2 linked regions of the Callithrix jacchus genome follow. The protein of the gene in region 1 purifies or fractionates together with the protein of each later gene. This does not show direct contact. Links are inferred from orthologs where the notes say so. Each region holds a gene or a part of one and is shown on either strand. Other genes may lie near its edges.

Region 1 (3,367 bases):
CCCATAGCCTATCCAGCACCTCCACACAAATTAGGAAAAGGCACTCCCTCCTCAAACACTGTATACTCATTTGGGCAAAATAAAAATTGGCACTTTGTGGATATATGGTTCAACCTACCTCCATCTGCTAGGAATTGTTATAAATGATCAATTACAAAATAAAGATCTAGAAAGTTGACAGGAGTAGAAGCCCCTCTAAAAGCGCTGTCCTTGGGCAGTACACAACCTACACAGCCATCTACTGCAGTCCAGCCTGGGATACTTCCAGCCTCCCGGAGAGAAGAACCTAAGATACTCCCAGTCTCCCAGCCAGAACAACCTAGGATACTCCCAGCCTCAGGCAGAACGGCCTAGGATAATCCCAGCCTCCCAACCAGAACAACCTAGGATACTCACAGCCTCCCAGGCAGCTGGGTCATGCTTGAAGAGGGAGTTGGTGAGCTCCACTGACACACGCTTCCGGTAGTCTGGGTTCTTGTCCTCGGAGATTCGGAACAGGACGGCAGCAGCATAGGTGGCTGAGCAGAGAAGAGAGGAAAAGCCAGGTCAGACGGGTGCCGGCCTCCATCATGGCTGGGGGAAGGGGACCCAGTCTCCTCCCTTCCTCCAGCTCACCAGTGCCCTCGTTGCGGGAGTGCAGCAATTCCATGAGTGGGGCTGAGGCCCCCTCTGCATCAATGGCGTCCGCCGCCTCCTTGTCCTGGGCCAGCTCACACAGCACCCCGGCGGCCACGCGCTGGATGTTCTCCACCGATGAGTACAGGAGCTGGGGACAGGGGACACGGGAAGTAAGGGAGCAGTGGAAAGGGATGAGGCAGGCTGGACAACACAGCCCACAGCCCTGCCCACCTCCACCCTGTAGCAATTCCAGAGTGGGAAATGGGCCCTCATCACAGGGTGTTACTGCTTTAACTGGGCTGAGCGTTGTTTATGGACTACTTTGAAATTACCCGTGTTGCTGCCTCATCTAAGCATTGGAATCTAGTGTCAGTGACCTCAATGACATGAGAGATGTTAAACTCTTTTTTTTTTTGAGACGCAGTTTCACCCCTGCTACCCAGGCTGGAGTGCAATGGCATGATCTCAGCTCACTGTAACCTCCACCTCCTGGGTTCAAGTGATTCACCTGCCTCAGCCTCCCAAGTGGGATTATGGGAACCTGCCACCATGCCCAGCTAATTTTTTGTATTTTTGGTAGAGACGTGATTTCACCATGTTAGCCAAGCTGGTCTCAAACTCCTGATCTTGTGATCTGCCCGCCTTGGCCTCCCAAAGTGCTGGGATTACAGGCGTGAGCCACCGTGCCCAGCCTAAACACTTGTCTCTTATGGTATTTGCACATATTCTCCCAGTTTACTGATTTTTTAAATGCTTTTTTAAGGTTCTTTCTGAAATACAGATGTTTTTCATGTTTATGTGATTGAATCTCAAGGTGTTTTTTCTTCCATTTGTGATCTCTCTCCTCGCTTTGATGCTTAGAAAGTCATACCAAGCCAGGAGGTTGCTAAGTAGTCAATCCCGGTATGTCCACTTTCCTCCAAATTCCTCCAGAGACCTCTGGATGCCTGGTCCAGGCTTCCCAAATCTGGGACCTTGCCCTCTAAGCAGTGGTGGGGGAACCTCTCCTGCCCACCTGCCCCAGACTCACCTGCACAAACAGGGGGATGGTGTTGAGCCGGAAGATCTCCATGCGGTTCATGGGGTCCCGCGCGAGGATGTGCAGGGCTCCAGTGCAGCCCTCCACAATCTCCTCCATCCTCACACCGTCCTGCATGGAGAGGCAGGGGGCATGGGACGGGTGCCTTGGACATGGTCACAACTCTTCCCGACCCTGACAGCTGAATCAACTTCACAGGCACTTGGAATTGGTATCCCTTGCAACTGATGTTCCCATTCACACACATACCCACAGAGGATACCCTGACCTCCCAGGAAGGCTGTCACAGGCACCAACAGCTCACATACCGTGTAGGGCTGCTGTGTGCCTGCAGCCACGTGGCGCTGGGCATCCTGGTGGGCCTTGACCAGCAGTTGGACGAGGCGGGGGATGACTGCTGCCTCCTGCAGGGGGGCATGGTTGGCTGGGCACAGGGCCAGATTCCTGATCAAGCCGATGGTTGCCTGGCAAAAAAAAGGGGCAGGGATCAGGGGCACTTCTTGGACATCTGAAGGATCCCAAGGTTCCCAGCTTCAGGTATCCCCTCCCTCCTTCACCTTTCCCCGAGGCCAGACACAGGCATACTGAAAGATCTCCAGAGAATGAGACCACCCCAGCCATGTCACTTACTCCACAGGATCTGGGGGTGCTCACAGCTAATTCTTTTTTTTTTTTTTTGAGATGGAGTTTTGCTCTTATAGCAGGTCTGCTGAATTGGGACCTGCAGAGGGGTGTGTGTGTGTGTGTGTGTGTGTGTGTGTGTGTGTGTGTGTATAGAGAGAAAGAGAGATTGTTTATTTGTTTGGATTTTTCTTCAGTTTTTTTTTTTTTTTTTGAGATGGAGTTTTGCTCTTGTTGGCCAGGCTAAAGTGCAATGGCGAGATTTCGGCTCACTGAAACCTCCACCTCCTTGAAATCTCTAAGCAATTCTCCTGCCTCAGCCTCCTGAGTACCTGGGATTAGAGGCATGCACCACCAGGCCCAGCTAATTTTCTATTTTTAGTAGAGACAGGGTTTCTCCATGTTGGTCAGGCTGATCTCAAACTCCTGACCTCAGGTGATCCGCCCACCTTGGCCTCTCAAAGTGCTGGGATTACAGGTCTGAGCCACCGAATCTGGCCGCCTTTTCAATTTTTTTGTAAGAGGTGAGTGTCTCACTATGTTACCACCCAGGCTGGTCTCAAACTCCTGGCCTCAAGTGACTCTTTTGCCTTCCCCTTTGCTTCCCAAAGTGCTAGAACTACAGATGTGAGCCACAGCACCCAGCCTCCTGTTTTTCTTTTCTTTTAAATGATGGGTTTTTGCTTTCATTCTTTTAAATGATGGGTTTTTCTTTTAAATGACGGGTTTTGCACCCAGGCTGGAGTGCACTGATGCAATCATAGCTCACCGTAACCTCCAACTCCTGTGCTCAAGTGATCCTCCTACCTGAGCCTCCCCAGGAGCTGGGACTACAGGCGTGCACCACCAGGCCTGGCTAATTTTTGTTGTTGTTGGCTGGGTGCGGTGGTTCACACCTGTTATCCCAGCACTTTGAGAGGCCAAGGCAGGCGGATCTCCTGAGGTTGGGAGTTCAAGACCAGCCTGACGAACATGGAGAAACCCTACCTCTACTAAAAATACAAAATTAGCCGGGCCTGGTGGTACACACCTGTGATCTCAGCTACTCCGGAGGCTGAGGCAGAAGAATCTCTTGAATCCGCGAGGCAG
Region 2 (3,821 bases), on another chromosome or scaffold:
TCATCCCGAAACCATCCCACCATACCCCCAACCTCCCTGTGGAAAAACTTTCATGAAACCAGTCCCCGGTGCAAAAAAGGTTGGGACTGCTGTGTTAGAGCCATTAGTAGATGTTCAGTTGAATGCACAGCACTCAACAGTTTGCAGTGTACTTTTATACAATTATCTCCATGTTATGGCTGCATATACAGATACATAATGATAAATGACTTGTCTCAGCTTACCAAGTGTGTAGGTAGGTACTGAAGCAGGCACTGTATCTTTCGCTCATGGATTCCTTGAACTGCTTTCTCATCTTCGATTCCCTGGAGCCTAATGTACTTGGCACATAATAGCCACTTGATGAATGTTTGTTAAAATTGTTGAATTGCCACTGGCTGGTTTCAATCTTCTTCTTAATCATAGCAGCTATAGTTAATGTGCTGTTGACTGTTTTACATAAAAACGAAATCTAGGCACTAGTCAGTTCATCCTTGGAAGCCAAATTGGAGTGGCAGATGGGTGTGCATATGTGTTTAATTCTTTGCTGCATTGATCAAGGGGTCAGCCTTGGTCTTTGCTTTCTCCTAGGGGTAAAATAAAATCTAAGGAGAGGGCTCTGAAATTGTTACACATTTCACTTTATTATCTCTAATCACTATTATTATTAGCACATAGATTTTGGGGACAGTGATTTTCTTTTTAATTGGACCATAGTTTTAAAAAATTTAATCTTTAAGCTGGTTTTGATGATTTGGATTCCATCTGACCCAGTTTTGGTGTTCCACTCAACAACCACAGACAGCCTCTTTTTGATGAACAAGGCCTTGAATCTGTACGACTCCCTTATTCTGCCATCAGGCTTTGGAGTAACTCACCCAAAACAGCTTGGTACAGTTGGATCAGGGTTAACAAAAGAAAAATAGGACTGCAAATAAGTGATGACAACTCCAGGAAGGGACATGCAAATTCCAAAATTACATAATATACATTTAGAAATTGTCAGGATTAACCTTATCTGTGTTCAATTTTGTGTCTGAACAGTGGTACCACTTTTACTGCTGATATGCCATTGTGGAAAGGGCGTCAAAGGCTTTACCCCCATACCTGGCACCATAGAGATGCTGCATCCTTGGAATAATGAAGGAGCGCCACCTGAAGACAAGGTCAGTGGATCAGATGTCAATAAGACTTGTCTTCTTTTTGGGTTTTAAAGGGGCCTAGGGAAGTGTTTCTTACATTTTTGGTAGAGTGAGTAAAGTGATCACTATGGATTTCACTTATATGCCTTTGTTAAGCAAAGGGTTCAAATGACAGTGTATTTTGTGTTTGTTGCTGGGGCAGAACTGAGATGGTTTTACTCTGTTGTGACACTTCCCATGCTATAGAGAATGCAGAGCAAGGTTCAGAAAGAGCAAATGTGCTAGAGATCTAAGTCTTTTGTCCCAGCATTAAATGGGCAGTTTTCACAACCAGGAACTGCTTCATTTACATTCCCCTCAATACACAGGGTTTGCAGAGGTAACCCACAACCCCCATGACGGTTGTAAAATGTTGCAAAGCCCACTTTCCCAACAACTTCATAGCCATATCCCTTTGTCTATTGCATCTTCACCCTGTACCTCTCATCACCGTCTGTTATGAGCACCATTTCTAATAGGATAGAATTTAGCATCAAGTGGCAGAGAACTCAGAATTCAGTGGCTTAAACATAAAGTGGGCAGTCCAAGGTCAACATATTGATGATTCCTCCACAGTGTGGTCCCTGGCTCCCTCTTCCTTGTTTTTCCTCCATGGTTGAGTTCTATTCCCATGCTGTCCTCATGTGTCAGTGCTAGCTACGTAGCTGCCATCCCTACATTCTAACCAGCAAATGGGAGAAAAGTAAAGAATGCTCTTTAAGCACACTTCCCAGAACTTGCCTACACCATTTCTGCTTAATTCACATTGGCCACACTACCTTAGTCAGGTGGCTTAATCAGAGGCTTGGAAATAGTCTTTATTTTGGGTGGCCATGGATCCAGGTAAAAACAAAATTGAAAATTCTATAACTATAGAAGGTATCAAACTGCAGAGGAAGGTTGGAATGCCATTGGTACACATAGAGTGAAGAAGCTGAGACCCTATGTAACTGTTTGGGCCTTGTTTCCTCTGCGGGTTATATCCAGCTATAAAACAAGAAGCTAGAAGAAAGAAGATCTTCATAAGACTTACATAAGTTATTCAACCCAAAAGATTTTTTCTAATTGGCCTCAGTGGAAATAGCTTATACCTTCCTATGCCTACTTGGCTTAGATCCTTCTACCAAGGATGAAGGAGTCCCCTCCATCTTCCTGACTCAGTTCTCAGTGTTTCCTCTCACAGGTGGTACCATCATTTCTGCCAGTGGATCAAAAGGACAGTCTAGCAGGAAGAAATGGAGTAGGAGGTATGGCCAAGGAAGCCACCATGAAAGAAAGTAGCTCTGGTTCCTTTGCCAAAGGTCAGCGTGAGATGTCTGAGCTGGATGGAAGGTGGGAAGAACACAGAAGCCTGCTTTCTGTTAGAGCTACCCAGGTTACAGGGGCCACAGGGGCTATCATAAGCAAGGAAACCATGAAGAACACAAGAGCCACAGGGGCTTCCAGAGACGTGGCCGGAGCTCAGACAGCTGCTGTTGCACTGAATGAAGAATTCTTAAGAAATTATTTCACTGATGTAAGGATTGGTTTTATGTATTGGGGGGTGGGGGACATTTATATGTAAATGTAATATTATTAGGGTAATCATTGCCTTGGATCCAAATGAGACTTTGAGGTTTTTTTTCTTTTTTCAGGGAATACTTATAGGCAATAAGGAAAGAGAAATGGGACCCACTAAATCAGTTGGTGTTAGCTAAATTATGCTGCGATAACAAGTGAACCCACGATCTTAGTTCTCACATAGGCATATTTCTTACTTACAGTTATGTTTTTGCCAGTCAGCTCAGCTCTGTCCTGCTTCATGATGTCTTCATTCCAAGATGCTCTGAGAGAGCAAATCAGACCTGGGAAGCTGCCATCCTTGTGGCCCAGAGAAAAGAGCAAGGCAGAACCAGGCAATGGCTCTTAAAGCCTCCAGCTTTATCCACTCACATTTCATTGACCAAAGCAAGTTACGTGACCAAGACAGATGTCAGTGGGTCAGAAAGTTCTATCCCCGCAGTAGCAGACTTGGTAGGGATGAGCCCTGCAGGAGAGACAGAGAATATATAACCTAAAAAATACAATCTGTTAAGTCCATTTAAATTTTACCTTATTTATGAGAGTACTTGGCTTTGCTATTCTGAGGGTCTACCAAGAAGTGATGAGAAAAGTTGCAGGAAGATGATCAGATGCAGTAAGGAAGCTTGTGCTAGAATTAGGAATTAGAAGCAGGACTGAAAATAAAAGTATGATGTAGAGGTCAGGCACAGTGGCTCATGCCTTTGATCCCAGCACTATGGGAGGCCAAGGCAGGCTGATCACTTGAGCCCAGAAGTTCAAGACCAGTTTGGGCAACATGGTGAAATCCTCACTCTCCAAAAATACAAAATATTAGCCAGGCATCCTGGCACACACCTATAGTCACAGCTACTCAGGCGCTGAGGCAGGAGGATCACTTGAGCCTGGGAAGCCAAGGATCCAGTGAGCTGTGATCATACCACTGCACTCCAGCCTGGGCAACAGAAACTCTGTCTAAAAATAATGATAATAACAGAGATAAGTATACTTCAGAACAAGGATTATTACCAGGAATAATGAGGGATAGTTCAAAATGAAAAATGGGCCAATTCATCAGGACGTCTGAAACTCCTAAGTATGTCAGAACCTAATAACAAATTA

The links.
Region 2: the proteins of JUP (region 1) and DSG2 purify together in Homo sapiens (affinity purification with western blotting; 3 studies listed by BioGRID and IntAct, with this or other methods). This does not show direct contact. The link is inferred for Callithrix jacchus from reciprocal best matches to the Homo sapiens genes JUP and DSG2.

Annotation. Positions count from the first base shown.
Region 1 is NC_133506.1:91,480,745-91,484,111, reverse strand, and holds part of JUP (junction plakoglobin), read right to left. Parts: intron 2,122-3,367; coding exon 1,966-2,121; intron 1,769-1,965; coding exon 1,649-1,768; intron 767-1,648; coding exon 616-766; intron 519-615; coding exon 397-518; intron 1-396. UniProt on the Homo sapiens protein: Common junctional plaque protein. The membrane-associated plaques are architectural elements in an important strategic position to influence the arrangement and function of both the cytoskeleton and the cells within the tissue.
Region 2 is NC_133514.1:74,679,081-74,682,901, forward strand, and holds part of DSG2 (desmoglein-2), read left to right. Parts: intron 1-1,023; coding exon 1,024-1,145; intron 1,146-1,955; exon of another isoform or gene 1,956-2,147; intron 2,148-2,343; coding exon 2,344-2,676; intron 2,677-2,921; exon of another isoform or gene 2,922-3,213; intron 3,214-3,821.